2 linked regions of the Macaca mulatta genome follow. The main gene of each other region encodes a partner of the protein of the gene in region 2 in a complex. Links are inferred from orthologs where the notes say so. Each region holds a gene or a part of one and is shown on either strand. Other genes may lie near its edges.

Region 1 (7,997 bases), on a different chromosome or scaffold from region 2:
TTGACATCATCCCTTCCCCAAGACCTAAGGTCATACCTCTGGCCTCCCTGAATCCCTCCTATGCCCCACCTTCTCTGGGTTCCATTGTTGGTGCCCTGCAACCCCAAGGCTTGATGGCCTTCTTGGTTCTCTTCCCCCGCAGGAAGTTTGCCCCAAGATGCTCAGTGTGCGGTGGGGCCATAATGCCTGAGCCAGGTCAGGAGGAGACTGTGAGAATTGTTGCTCTGGATCGAAGTTTTCACATTGGCTGTTACAAGTGTGAGGTCAGGGGCCCCCAGCACGTGCAAGGGGCTGGCAGTGTCTGCGGTGCTGGGTAGAGCACGAGACGGGGAACACAGAGATCTGGGGCTGATGGAAATCTGTTGCTTCTTTCTTTCTTTCTTTTTTTTTTTTTGAGATGGAGTCTCGATCTGTGGCCCAGGCTGGAGTGCAGTGACACGATCTTGGCTCACTGCAACCTCCACCTCCCGGGTTCAGGCAAGTCTCCTGCCTCAGCCTCCTGAGTAGCTGGGATGACAGGTGCTGGCCACCACGCCTGGCTGATTTTTGTATTAGTAGAGACAGGGTTTCACCATATTGGCCAGGCTGGTCTCGAACTCCTGACCTTGTGATCCACCCGCCTCGGCTTCTCAAAGTGCTGGGATTACAGGTGTGAGCCACCGCACCCGGCCAATTGTTGCTTCTTTTTCAACAGGAGTGTGGGCTGCTGCTCTCCTCTGAGGGCGAGTGTCAGGGCTGCTACCCGCTGGATGGGCACATCTTATGCAAGGCCTGCAGCGCCTGGCGCATCCAGGAGCTCTCAGCCACCGTCACCACTGACTGCTGAGTCTTCCTAGAAGTACCTGCTGGGTTCTCAGTTCCAGTTCCCATCCTTCGATTGATCACCCTCCCTGACATCCACCTGTATGACTTCATCACCAAATGCTGTCTCCTCTTTCTCCAATCAAGAAATAATAATCCCTCGAGTTTACAAAACACTTCCAAGTCTGCTGTCTTATCTGATTCTCCCAGTAGCCCATTACAAGCCCAGTTGTTGTTACTACCTGCATTTTTTTTCTTTTTTTTTTGAGACGGAGTCTGGCTCTGTCACCTAGGCTGGAGTGCAGTGATGCCATCTTGGCTCACTGCAACCTCCGCCTCCCGGGTTCAAGTGATTCTCTTGCCTCAGCTTCTCGAATAGCGGGGTTTACAGGCGCCTGCCACCATGCCTGGCTAATTATTTGTTTATTTTTTTGAGATGGAGTCTTGCTCTGTCACCCAGGCTGGAGTACAGTGGTACAATCTCGGCTCACTGGAAGCTCCGCCTCCCAGGTTCACACCATTCTCCTGCCTCAGCCTCCCGGGTAGCTGGGACTATAGGCACCCACCACCATGCCCAGCTAATTTTTTGTATTTTTAGTAGAGACAGGATTTCACTGTGTTAGCTAGGATGGTCTTGACCATCGTGATCCACCCACCTCGGCCTCCCAAAGTGCTGGGATTACAGGTGTGAGCCACCGCGCCCAGCCAATTTTTGTATTTTTGGTAGAGATGGAGTTTCACCACGTTGGTCAGGCTGGTCTCAAACTCCTGACCTCAAGTGATCTGCCCGCTTCGGCCTCCCAAAGTGTCGGGATTACAGGCGTGAGCCACCGCGCCCAGCCACTGTCTGCATTTTTACATGTGAGGATGCCAGAGGAGAGTGACTCCCCCAGATTGCATGGTTCTTAAATGGTGGAACCTGGGTCTTTTTGGCTCAGGTCCAGTTTTTTTGGACAACTCTTGTAATCTGTCACTACCCACCTCTCAGTGCTGGGAGCAAGCATGCCTTAGGGAGGAGGCAAGATTTCCTATATGTATCTATTTTGAGACAGGGTCTCACTCTGTTCCCCAGGCTAGAGTGCAGTGGTGAAATTCAAGGCAGCCCTGAACTCCTCGGCTCAAACAGTCCTCCTAGCTTAGCCTCCCCAGTAGCTAGGACCACAGGGGCATCCTACCAAGCCCAGTTGTTATTTTTTTGTGCGTAGATGGGATCTTGCTATGTTGCCCAGGCTAGTCCTGAACTCTTGGGCTCAAGTCCTCCCTCCTCAACCTTCCCAAGTGCTGGGATCACAGGTGTGAGCCACTGTGCCTGGCCCTAAATATTCTGTAAAGGGGTCTTGCTATGTTGCCCACACAGGTCTTCAACTCCTGGGCTCAAGTGATCCTCCCACCTCGGCCTCCCAAAGCGCTGGGACTGCAGGCGTGAGTCACCTCAGCTGGCCTTCCTATTAGGTCTCACACTCAATTCTGAGAGGGGCCTTGGTGTTACTCCCGGGCGTGGCAGTCCACTGAATGTGGGCGGTCCATACTGTTTCGGGCCTTAACTTACAGCCTATATCATCCAAGTACTGAGTGGGGTTAAAACTGAGATCTACCAATTTTCCTTAAAGATGGGGCGTTTTTGTCGAGGAAGATCAGGAATGGCGGACTTTGCATTTAGTGCGCACTGTGGCACCCACTTTTGGCTGGATATTTGGAGCAGAAAATGGTGGGAGACGATGCTTTAAAATGGTTGCTTCCATCTTCCATCCCCTAAACGCGCTTCCCAAGTCCACGTCCTGCCCGAGGAGAGGACGAAACCCCCCCGGTGAGGTCAGGAGGCCCGTAGGGGGAACACGGCTGGATGAGGACTGGCTCAGACCCCCCTACACATCCGGGGTCGCGCGATCCTCGACTTCGGCCCTCGGAAGCTCTCCCTTCGCGCCCAGAGAGCGCCTTCGCCCCCCGAGGCCGCGCTTGGCCCAGCCGAGTTCCCGTAGTTCCTAAAACTCTAGCCATTCTCGTCTCGAAAAACCGCGCGAGACTTGCGAGAACCCCGCCCCTTTCCCGTCACGCCCTGCTCTCCCCGCCCATCGCGCTCGGTTCGTTAGTTCCAGTTCGGGCCGCGAGGGGGGAGCTTTGTGCCTCGGAGGCGTGGGTGACGCAGGCGCAACGCGGGCCGCGCTCGCTACCGCCCATCCTTGGTTGTCCCACTTTTGTTCCCCTCTCTTTGGCCCTGTAACCAAGAGCTCCGTCTTCGTCTCGCCCTCCTCGTCGTCCTCGTCGCGCGCCCGCGGCCCAGGTCGCCCTGAAATCCAGCCCGTCCGAGCGCGAGTCCAACGGCCGCGGCCGCTCCCAGGTGGGGGAGGGGAGGAGCCTGGGGGGCCCCGCTGGGGCGCGAGAGGAACCGGGGGCCACGGGGGCGTGCTGGGAGACCCTCGGGGCGAGTGGAAGCATTGGAGCCGCGTCCTGAGGCCCAGGATGGTGGGGGCCGCGGAGGGCTGGCCTTGACGGGAGGGAAGCGGGCGAGGTGCCCGCGAGGGACGATCTCTTCCTCCGCTTGTCCTTTTGCACCACCCTGACCGCCCCTCCCCGGTCCCCAGGCCCCCTCAGACCGCGCCATGGGTGACAGTGATGACGAGTACGATCGAAGGCGCAGAGACAAGTTCAGAAGAGAGCGCAGCGACTACGACCGTTCCCGCGAGAGAGATGAAAGACGTCGAGGGGACGATTGGAATGACAGGTGAGCCGTTTTTAACTTCTTCTTGTCCCCATTTAATGCCGTTTCACGCCACCCGCGTCGCTTTTCTTTTTCCCCCTTGTAATTTTTATGAGGGCGAACCCTATGAAATGGCTCATTGGATCGTTTGCTGTTGTTCAGCCTATTTGTTGTTGGCCAAGTAACTAGCTGTGTGGCTTGGTTTTTTAAATTCTCAGCAGATCAGAGCAATAGAGCTAAGAGTTTGAGAATGAAGAAGCACTGTTTATACATGCACGAAAAACGTGCTTTTTTGCTTTCTTTTTGTTTTGTTATGGAGATGGGGTCTTGTTCTGCCCTGGCTGGAGTGCATTGTGGTGCAGTCATAGCAGCTTCCACCTCCTGAGCTCAACCGATCCTCCTGCCTCAGCCTCCTGAGCAGTTGGGAGTACAGGGGGAGGCCATCACTCCTGGCTAACTTTTAAAAATTGTTATTATTATTTCGAGACAGGGTCTCGCTCTGTCGGCTAGCCTGGAGTGCCGTGGCGCAGTCTTGGTTCACTGCAGCCTCCGCCTCTGGGGTTCAAGTAATTCTCCTGCCTCAGCCTCCCGAGTAGCTGGGATTGCAGGCACCCGCCACCACACCTGGCTAATTTTTGTATTTTTAGTAGAGACGGGGTTTCACCATGTTGGCCAGGCTGGTTTGGAACTCCTGACTTCAGGTGATTCACCCAGCTTAGCCTCCCAAAGTGCTGGGATTACAGGCATGAGCCACAGTACCTGGTCTAAAATTATTTTTTGTAGAGACAGAGTCTTGCTCTGTTGCCCAGGTTGTAAATTATATTTTAGGAAGATTGCTTCAGAAAAATAATAATATAGAGTTGATCTGACTGGAGAGGTTGTCAGACTATTTCCCTGACAATATATGATTAGGTTTTTTGTCACTGTTTTGCCTAAAATCTCAGAGTTTATTGGGTGGTGCTGATTGGATTGATTGATTATAAGATGTGGTTATTGACCTGAGGATGTTACAGTGTGGGCTTGGCCTGGGGGTTCAGAATGGCCATGGATGTATTCTGTAAATGAGAATACATAGCGGAAGTTATAAAGAGGATAAGCATTAAGGGAACAGATCTCTAAAGGAGGGGAGCGGTGCTGGAGGGGGTGTGTCAGGGACCCACTGGAAAGTGACACTTAGCTAGACTTAGAAAGATAAGTGGGAATTCCCCAGACACGAGTGACACGAACAGCTTGGAGTTGTGGACATAATGTGTGCTTTTAGCATATTCTAGTTTGGTTAGAGTCCTGTTTCTCAGGATGTCCGCAGACCATAGGGAGTCTCCGAGGCTAAAATTATTTTTTGTGCTAATGTTTACATATTATTGCCATTTCCACTGATGGTGCCATAGCAGTGGTGGGTAAAACTGCTGATGCTTTAGCAAACATCAAGGCAGTGACAGCAAAGAGTTTAAAAAAAAAAAAGAAAAAGCCAGCTGGGCGCGGTGGCTTATACCTGTAATCCCAGTACTTTGGGAGGCCAAGATGGGCAGATCATGAGGTCAAGAGATCGAGACTATCCTGGCCAACATTGTGAAACCCCATCTCTACTAAAAATAGAAAAAGTTAGCCAGGTGCCGTGGTATGCGCATGTAGTCCCAGCTACTCGGAAGGCTGAGACAGGAGAATCACTTGAACCTGGGAGGCAGAGGTTGCAGTGAGCCGAGATCGTACCACTGCACTCCCGCCTGGCGACAGAGCAAGACTACGTCTCAAAAAAAAAAAAAATGCCAGTTCTATCAATGGTTCTTGATGAAAGAGTAAAACATTTAATTTGATTAAATTGGACTCTTGACTGTACGTCTTTGTTTTTGACATAAAATCTCTCTCTGTTGCCCAGGCTGGAGTGCAGTGGTGCAATGTCAGCTCACTGCAGCCTCCACCTCCCCGGTTCAGGCGCTTCTCCTGCCTCAGCCTCTCGAGTAGCTGGGACTCCTGACCTCAAGTGCTTCGGCCTCTCAAAGTGCTAGGATTACAGGCCTGCATTAGTTTTCTTGAGCAAGAGTATGCATGTGATTGAGTGAGCTGAACTAACAGCTTTTTTCCATGGGACATTATTTTTACTTGAATGAATGACAAATAGTGATTGTTCATACTTGGGTATTTGGCAGACATCTTGAAAATGAACTGAGAACCTGTTACTTCAGTGTAAGCTGTCAGTATTTGTTGCCAGTGATGAAGTAGCACTTTCCAGTGAAAATTAAAATTTTGGGCCGACGCAGTGGCTCATGCCTGTAATACCAACACTTTGGGAGGAGAAGGTGGGTGGATTGCTTGAGCCCAGGAATTTGAGAACAACCTGGGCAATGTGGTGAAATCTGTCGGTACAAAAAAATACAAAAATTAGCTGGGGGTGGTGGCACATGCCTGTAGTCCCAGCTACTCAGGAGGCTGAGGCGGGAGGATGGCTTGAGCCTGGGAGGTCGAGGTGAGAGTGAGCCTTGATTGCACCACTGCACTCCAGCTTGGGCAACAGAGAAATACCTTGTCTAAAAAAAAAAAGGAAATTAAAATTTTGGAAAACTTCTATCTACTAATGTGAGCTTGACAGCTTCCCATTAAGTAAAGACTTTTTTGGTGAGATAGGCAGTGATGCTGATGCATACATTTTGATATTGTGTGAGACATATCAAAGTCCATTCAAAGGGCAAGATAGAAGAGTGCATTTTAATGTAGCAGAGAAAGAAATATTCACTGATACTATTTCAGATTGAAGGTTCTAACTAGCCTGTGAGAAACTACTTCCGTCTTGGACAAGGTAGCATAAAGAAAAGATAAAAAAGAACCTATTTCTTGTTGAATTTTGCGTAGTATCCAAAATGAATGTCTACAGTTAATCTGAAAAGGCTTTTTCAACTCCTTATTAGTGTGAGGCCTGATTATCTGTTTTTTTTTTTTTTTTAAAACGGGGTGTTACTCTGTTGCCCAGGTTGGAGTGCAGTGGCACAATCATGGCCGTGGGTCACTGCAGCCTTGACTTCCCCAGGCTCAGGTGATCCTCCCATCTCAGCCTCCTGATTAGTTGGGACTACAAGTGTATGCCACCACACCCAGCTAATTTTTTTTTTCTTTCTTTTTTTTTTTTTTGAGATGGAGTCTCACTCTGTTGCCCAGGCTGGAGTATAGTGGCATGATCTGGGCTCACTGCAACCTCTGCCTCCTGGGTTCAAGCGATTCTCCCGCCTCAGCCTCCCAAGTAGTTGGGATTACAGGTGTCTGCCACCACCCCTGGCTAATTTTTGTGTATTTAGCAGAGACAGTGTTTTGCCATGTTGGCCAGACTGGTCTCAAACTTCTGACCTCAAGTGATCTGCCCGCCTTGGCCTCCCAGAGTGCTGGGATTACAGGCGTGAGCCACCACTTCTAGCCAGCCAGCTAATTTCTGTATTTTTAGTAGAAAGGTGGTTTGACCATGTTGCCCCAGCCTGGTCTTGAACTCCTGGGCTCAGGCAATCCACCTGCTTTGGCCTTCCAGAGTGCTAGCATTCATTACAGATGTGAGCCATCATGCCCGGCCTGCCTCATTTTTCAAATAGAACAGAATATCTCAACAGATTTCAGTGTAGAAGCTATCCTCTACAAAGCCAGAACTTGGAGAGATTGGTGACAATGTAAAAACAACGCCACTTTTTCTCACCAGAATTTTTCTGGAAAATAATCACTTTTCATAAAAACATGTGATCTATTTCATCTTACTGTGTAATTTAAAAATGAAGGTTTTGGAATGTTTTGTTTTAATTTTGAATATAGTAAGTATTGATAGATGTAACCCACATAAGCAGAAACTCTTTGATGTCCTCAGTCATTTTTAAGAGTATGAAGGGGCTGAGGCAGGAGAATTGCTTGAGCCCAGGAGGCGGAGGCTGTAGTGAGCCGAGAGTGAGATTGCGCTACTGCACTCCAGCCTGAGCAACAGAGTGAGACTGTCTCCAAAAAAAAAAAAAAAAGAAGAAGAAGATGAGGATGGGGGAGGCTGGGTGACTGGTTGGGAGGTTGGTGACTGGTGGGGAGGCTGGTCGAGAGGCTGGAGTGACAGCCAGGAGCCCAAGTTAAAACAACAGTGTTGCTTACTGGCATTGAAGTAAGGGTGTGATGTGATGAGACTTGTGTTTGAGGAAGGTCCGCCTGCCAGTGGGGAGACAGAAGCGAGAGACCAGAAGCAGGTGGGCAGCCAGGGCTGCAGGAGCCACACTGGACAAGGACAAGGACTAGGACAGGTTGTGTGGGGATGGCAGAGTGTGGGACAGCTTTGATAGGCTTTGAGGCAGAGGATTAGCAGGAGCAGTAATTAGCGGTGAGGGTAGTGAATGACAGCTGGGGAGAGATGCTGTTCCGTTACAGCAGAGTGGGGAGTCAGGGGAGGAAAAGACATTTGGGCCCATAATGGTGGGATGAATAGGATTGATTCTGTTTTTTTTTTGTTTTTTGGAACGGAGTCTTGCCCTGTTGCTCAGGCTGGAGT
Region 2 (7,407 bases):
AAATGAACAGAGGGTTTGCAGTTCAGACATGTGACTATGTACATGTATTTTCTAGTTTTTTTCTCAGAAATCATACCTTCTCTTCCTACAGCATTATTTTCCCCTTTTCAAGCTTATAAGAGGGCCTAACAGGGTTGCTTTAAAGGCTGTGGAATGATTCCAAACTGGAACAAGCCACCTGGAAAGTTAAGTTAAGAAGACTGTAGAGGTGGAATAAAGGGTTGGCAAAATATATGAGCCAGAAAGAAGGGAACAGTGTGCTTAAGGTTTAAAAAACAACAACAAAAAATAACTGCTCTCATTCAGCTAGTTTTTCAGCATCTCCATTCTCCCAACCTCACTGAAATTTGGTTCTGAGGAGCTCTGCTTTCTAGAATATGGTTTCTTAACATCAGCACTATTGACATTCTTGGCCAGATTATTTGTTTTGGGAGATGCCCTATGCAACGTGGGATATTTAGCAGCATCCCTGGCCCCTACCCACTAGATGCCAGTTGCTTCCCCTAGTTGTGACTACTAAAAATGTCTCCAAGGATTGCCAGATGACAACTGGGGGCAAAATCTACACCCTGTTGAGAACTACTGCTCTAGAAGAAAGCTGTTGAATGTTATAGCTGGCGGCTCGTGTAAATATTACATCATTTGTGCTTTGTTTTTTCAATAAATGAATCCTGGAAATAAAAGACCTTTGTGTGAAAGTTGGTACTTTGGGTGGTAGAACCTTGATAGGTCCTGTGACTTAGATTTGGTACATACTTAAGAATCAAGGTCCCTGAACCTCTGTGCCACACATGTCTACAACTTTACACAGGCAGATATCTCCAGGAATCAGTACATCTCAGCTCTTATACTGCGTGCATATTATACTTTTTGTGGCATTATCCCTTCAAAATTATAGTCAGTGGACATTCAGTTTATAATGGTAATTAATGGGTTGGGAAGTTGAAGCACAGAGTGTCTTATCCTGTAACCTTTGTAATACCCCCCTCAGATCCTATGTGGATAGTAATAGATTCGTTTTATTCAGCTTCAGTTCATGTGGTATCTGAAGATCATTTCAGTCATTCGATAGATTTAACATTCCAAGCTTAGAATAGCCACGTGCTGTGTTTTATGAGAATCACCATACATCATTTCAAGCCAAGTGTTCCAGAGGCAAGTAAGTGATTATGAACTTCGTAAAGATAATTCCTTTGGCCATTCAAGTCTGAAGATTGAAGTTATATATAACTTACTACTGTGTAGCCCTATATCCAGCTGCAGATTTTCATTATTAATACAGATTCCCAGCACAGTTACAGACTCTTGCTTTCTTGCCCATATGCTGACCAAATAATTGAATCAATGGAAATCGAAAATTGAATTGTATTAGACTAGCCAAAAGTGTTTAGCAGCAGCATCAGGTTCCATACTTAACACTATTATTTTAATTTTTTAAACCTTATGTTAAACCACAAAAGGACTTAGGTGAGTGTGTTAAGGCTTTAAACAAAGTGGTAAGAGATACAGCAAGGGTCTTAATAGACAGGTGTTTGAGGTTAGTTTTTAGCACAGCTTCATTCAACTTGAATTGTTTAGCAATCAAAAGGACAGATGCTTGGTAATGATTTTAGAATGGTAGATTTAAAAAACATAGAGATTATTCAAATGATATGGTTTTTAAATAAATCAGTATCAGTAATTCAGTTAATAAAAGCTAGTTAAAGCAGGAATTGTAAAACATGTGGTCCTTTTTTCCGCCAATGATTTGATATAGTGCTCAGGACTTTTCTTTGAATATGTATATACTGACTGTCGTTCCCATTATTTAGGATAAACTATACCGTCGTGCTGCATCATATGCAGAACTGAAATTGTTCATTGAAGACTTGAGATTAGAGCTTAGAAACATGTGAAGCAAGTGAGAAATCCTAATGTTTTATGCTCCTTTTTCCCCTCTTTTGAAGCTTTCCTCTTTATACCTGATATAACAGCTTTTTTTTTTCCGATCAAGTCTTCCCAAAGCATTCGACTTGGTTTTGCACCCTTATTTTGTCATTTACATAATAATTACATTATTAGACTAATGAATACTACTGGTACTAACAGGTTTCGGAACAAGCAACTGAGGATCAGTAAACAACTCAAGTTGAAAGAATGGGAGTAGCAGTACATGAGTATTCTAACTACTAGTGTTTAACGCGTTGTTGGCAGCTTTCCAGCTTTTCCACAGAAATGCACAGGGCTGCTGATTGCTTAGCTCCATGGGCACTATTCACACAAAATTTAACATAAATAATGCCTCCTGGAGTTATTGTATATAGTGGCTCTGGGAATGGGAGGTGTTGGTTAATCTAGCTTAGTCTGAGAAATGGAGGGTCTGTGAAGAGCTTCTACTCTGTCAGAAAAATAGGGCCTGGTAGAAAACAGATTATAACCTAAAAAGGTTAAATAAAATTTGTGATAGCAGATTTAGCATGTAATGTTAATTTTTTATGTTGCTGAAATAGGTGGGCAGCCTCACAAAAGGAGAAAGACCTCTGATGCAAATGAAACTGAAGATCATTTGGAATCTTTAATATGCAAAGTAGGAGAAAAGGTATGTCACACAATAGGCCCAGGCTGTGATGGGTTTAAGAATGTGGTTGACTGCTTTGATTAATTTTTGCAGCTGAAAACTTGAACTACATTTTGGTAAAGCTGGTATTACCATGCATCTGTATCCCAAATTGAATCCATGTTGAAGCCCCTGGGATGCAGATAATTGATTATTATTAGTAATTTAGTAATTAATAATTTTCATAGAAGATGAGCCTTAAAAGGGACCTAGGGTATAGCCCCTTAATTTATACATGAACTAAATCAGCCCTGAATACTTGAGGTAATTTGCCCAGAGTAACAGAGTGAATTAGTAACAGAGGTAAAATGGAGCCAATGGTGTCCTCCCATTTCTAATGCTTACTCTGCTATCATAGACTGCTTAGTTTTTAAATTTCACTCATCGACTTTTCATGGATTTCTAAAGAACAATAACTATCTGAATTGATTTATACTAAACCCATTATAGCTCTGTATGCGTGTAAGACTATTTTAATCATGTGGAAATTTTTATTTTAGTACACTAAAATAGCAAAAGGACAGATGATTGGTTATGATTTTAAAATGATTTTAAAATATATATTTACATTTAAATAAATTTTTAACAATAAATTTATATTGCTGAGTACTTGACAGATATTTAATGTGATGTCCTCTACAGAGTGCCTGCTCTTTGGAGAGCAACCTCGAAGGCTTGGCTGGTGTTTTGGAAGCTGATCTTCCTAACTACAAGAGCAAGATCTTAAGGCTTCTTTGTACAGTGTATGTATGCAAAAGATTTATGAATCCAGGTGATAATGTATTATCTACTCTTAAATGCTTTGGGAAATGTTTAAAATATATGTTTATGTTCTATATGTCCTTGGCTTTCCTTCTATGGGGAAGTTTGTACAAATGAGCCAACCTTTGGCCCTTTAATGAACTCTTTTTCTTAGGGATAAAACTAAAATTGAGCATTTTCCTTGTGTGTTATTTCTTAGAACCTTAGAATCATTGTAGTTGACTTTTTATAGAGAGAGTACTGTCTCATTCAGATACATATTTTTAAGCATGTATATTTAAATGTATGATACTTAGATTTTAAAATTAGTAGTACCAAACAAATTTGGGAATTGGTAACACGAGTAATAGCTCTTCTTGGAAGACTGAAGAGGCTTTGGAAGCCACTAGTAATAGGCATACTCTCTGGATAAACAGGAGTCTTTGTAGTTACATGAAATTGTAACATATCCATGAGGTGTTTTTAAATTATGAAGGTGACGTTTATCACTTCTCAGCCTTTTAGTTTAGATCAAGTGAAGGTAACTTTAAGAAACTACTAAGGAAATCTTCTGAAATCCTTTATTAAAATGGGGTAGTATTTATACTTAAACTGTTGGAAACCTTGTTTGTTTAAGGCTGAACTTGTATTGCTTCGCAGTATTCTTTAATTTTTGGTTTTGGTAGGGTTTCAGGGAGTACAGTTACCATCAACACAGGTATTTTTTTGAAGACCTTAATTGTCCCTGATGTTCTGCTAGATACTTTAGGAAAACAAGTCAAAGAGAATCTCTTGCCCACTGAATGATTATGAGTTCTTATTTGCTTTTTGAGCTAATTCTAAAGGCTGCCTAAATTAGGAAAAATTGCTTTTTCTAAAGGTTTATTGTAATCCTTTCCCATACTTTTCAAATAACTTTAACAAAATCAACATACTTGGAGTAAGCAAATCTTAACTATATCAGACTACGTTTTAAAAAAATTCAATAATTAAGCTGGTAGGAACTTAGATGAAACTCGTTTTAATTGTGCCTCTTTTCTAAGCAACTAGAATAGTGTTTCTCAAAGTAGAATTCTACTTCCATGACATTTGGTTAGCTAAGTTTAGAAATTCTGAATGCCGCACCCCCCTTAATGATTCTGTATTAAAGAGGCTTGTTTCACCCAGGATTTCTGAGACATTTTACCATGGAAACCATGTTCTGTGGAAATGCTATTCAGTTCCACTAAACACACTTGAAGAAAAACTGTTGTAGCATTAGTTTTATTTATTTCAGTAAGATAACTTTACAATTAAATCATTTACTTTCTTAACTCTTGGATTAATTAATGAATTAAAATGAAAAATTACGGGACTGTGTTTGTAACATTTCTCAGTGACATGCTTTTTCTGGAGTATTTTTAAAGACATAGCTAAAAGTAATCCTGTTCCAAAGTTAATGGAATGATAAAAAGATTCATATAAAATTCAGCAACTTAACGCTATTGTTTTGGGGTTTTCTCGTTATACTGGGTTCTTAAATCAGTGCACGTCTGTTACCTGAGAAGTTGACAATTTATACAACATTAGTTGGACTGCTGAATGCCAGGAATTACAACTTTGGTGGAGAATTTGTAGAAGCCATGATTCGTCAACTTAAAGAGTCATTGAAAGCAAACAATTATAATGAAGCCGTATATTTGGTAAGTTTGTTTGTTGGTATGTTATGACTTACTGTTGGGATGGAGGGAAAAGGTGAGCTACAACCAAATAATTTAAAATGCTCCCCTGAGGCATTCTCATTCACTTTGATAGCTTCATAGGCCACCTTTATTATGATGACACCCCCAAATCTGTAACTGTGTCTCCATCCTTTCTCCTGAGCTCCAGTCCAGTATTCCAGATGCTAGCTGCATAGCCTTCAGATATCTTACCAGGAAGTGCCTAAATTAATGTAGCATTCATACCTCCTTTTTTCTGCCCTTTCCCCAGCTCATTCAGTGGCCACTGTGTACTGAATAGCCCATCTATAAAGCTGAGCTTTAATTTTTGTCTTCCCTTTGCCTTCTTGTACCATAGGTGTTCCCAATCCCTGTCAATTCTGTCTCCCTAATTTCTCTCAAGTCTGTCCTGTCTTGGTCTCCAGGGCCTCTAGCATAGTTTATGCCTTCCTCCAGATGTTCTTAATAGCCTCTTAACTGATCTTTTTGCATCTAGATTCTGTTTTTCACTTTGTGTTCTACAGTGGCACCAGACTGGTCTTTCTGTAACTAGGCTCTGCACATGTTGGTTACTGGTTAAAAAACCCTTAGTTCCTTCCCATGGCAGTGTGAGTGGTCTTAAAAGCCTGGTGCACAAGATGATTCCTTGGGTTGCAGAAAGTGAATATTGAGAACTCTTATTTATCTTAAGTGGAAATGAAATTAAGCCTTACTAATAATACATAGATTAATGGTGATCCAGTGTATATAATAAATAAATATGTATGTGTTGAAGATATGTGATCAAATTCTTTTTTACTGAGTACACAATCAAAAAAGTTTGGATACCGATCAGGCTATAGGATTAAAGTCCAGACTCTTTAGCCTGACCCTTTATGGTTTCCCCAGTGTGTTTCTCTATTCTTGTCTCCCATACACTCTCCAGCAATATCAAAATAACTTGCAGATCCCAAAACACACCTTGTTTTTGAAGCTGTATGCCTATACTGCCCTCATTGCTCACTACTTGAGACTGTTGCTTATCCTTTATGATCTAGCCTAATTGTTACCTCCTTTGTGATGCTTTCCCCAACTCCCTTTGTCATTGTTCCCAAAAACACTTAATTTGCCTTTTAGTGTGGGAGTCACTCATTTGTATTGAGATTGTGCTTGTTCCACTAGAATGGGTCCCTTAACAGTTGACTTTTAGTAGTGTTTAGCAATAGCACACTGAGCACACCCAATAAATGTGTTCTGTAATTTCCATTTCTGTAATTCAGTAAAAATTACAGTCAAACAGAAAAGAAGCTTATAGGTTGAAGTAGCTAGAATATTTTACAATCTGGATTGTTGATGTAGTATAGCATAGAAACCTATGAACTCACAGATTGCTGTCCTTTATATAGTTTTTGTTACAACTTCTCAATTCTGCCATGGTAGCACAAAGCAACCATACACAATATGTAACTGAACGAGCATGGCTGCTGCAATAAAAGTTTACTTATGGACACAGAAACTAGAATTTCATGTAATTTGTATGTGTCATAAAATACTCTTGGTTTTTTTTTTTTCAAGCATTTAAAAATGTAAAAACCATTCTTAGTTCCCAGCTATGCAAAAAACAGGTAGTAGGCTAGATCCAGCCCTTAGGCTATAGTTTTTCAGCCCAATAGTTTAGGCTGTAGAAGATTGCTTGTTTTGTAGTTATTATGAAGAACATTTAGATTTAATAGCAGAAATTGTTTGCCCCAACAGGTCCGTTTTTTATCTGATCTTGTGAATTGCCATGTGATTGCTGCCCCGTCAATGGTTGCCATGTTTGAAAATTTTGTAAGCGTAACTCAGGAAGAAGATGTGCCTCAGGTAAGAGAACCCCTCACGCTGAATCTTGAGGGGCTCTTGAGGGGTTACTGAATCCTGGTACTTCCATATAGTACCAGAAACCTTTCGCTGATAATCCATTAGCAATAAAGAAAAAACAGCAGACTATCACACTGTAAGTTCTTACTATCTAAAAATTAAGTTGACTGGCACACTGGTGGGTTCTCATAATATATGTTGATTTAAATGATGCTGTCCAGTAAGATTAGAACTAATATATCTGGAAATGATCTGTATAAACCAGATGTCATAAGTCCTATTAAATAGCTTCCATAGGATTTCATTCAAGAATAGATAAAATATGAATGAATATAATTAAAGCATATTTTAAACTTAACTTTTTAAAAATCCTTTAGGTGCGGCGAGATTGGTATGTGTATGCATTTCTGTCATCTTTGCCCTGGGTTGGAAAGGAGTTGTACGAAAAGAAAGATGCAGAGATGGACCGCATCTTTGCCAACACTGAAAGCTATCTTAAGTAAGGGCACAGCTCATAGTACTCTTTGTTGC

The links. Proteins that work in one complex are often made in the same cells at the same time.
Region 1: the proteins of NCBP1 (region 2) and SRRT are in contact, whole or in part, in a cryo-EM structure (PDB 8PMP), measured with the Homo sapiens proteins. The link is inferred for Macaca mulatta from reciprocal best matches to the Homo sapiens genes NCBP1 and SRRT. Residues at the interface, in NP_002477.1 of Homo sapiens: Tyr461, Gln463, Lys511, Lys557, Ser558, Ser560, His561, Ser564, Ala567, Lys568, His570, Lys607, Ile609, Arg610, Thr611, Gln612, Met648, His651, Glu705; in NP_056992.4 of Homo sapiens: Asp857, Pro858, Arg859, Val862, Glu863, Tyr864, Arg865, Asp866, Leu867, Asp868, Ala869, Asp872, Asp874, Phe875, Phe876.

Annotation. Positions count from the first base shown.
Region 1 is NC_133408.1:48,083,001-48,090,997, forward strand, and holds the start of SRRT (serrate RNA effector molecule homolog), read left to right. Parts: upstream 1-2,961; 5' UTR 2,962-3,139; intron 3,140-3,383; 5' UTR 3,384-3,401; coding exon 3,402-3,523; intron 3,524-7,997. Other genes in the region: TRIP6 (thyroid receptor-interacting protein 6), read left to right, coding at 143-263, 695-826. UniProt on the Homo sapiens protein: Acts as a mediator between the cap-binding complex (CBC) and the primary microRNAs (miRNAs) processing machinery during cell proliferation.
Region 2 is NC_133420.1:60,756,928-60,764,334, reverse strand, and holds part of NCBP1 (nuclear cap-binding protein subunit 1), read left to right. Parts: intron 1-1,811; exon of another isoform or gene 1,812-1,900; intron 1,901-2,489; coding exon 2,490-2,578; intron 2,579-3,238; coding exon 3,239-3,339; intron 3,340-4,862; coding exon 4,863-5,019; intron 5,020-6,771; coding exon 6,772-6,879; intron 6,880-7,253; coding exon 7,254-7,375; intron 7,376-7,407. UniProt on the Homo sapiens protein: Component of the cap-binding complex (CBC), which binds cotranscriptionally to the 5'-cap of pre-mRNAs and is involved in various processes such as pre-mRNA splicing, translation regulation, nonsense-mediated mRNA decay, RNA-mediated gene silencing (RNAi) by microRNAs (miRNAs) and mRNA export.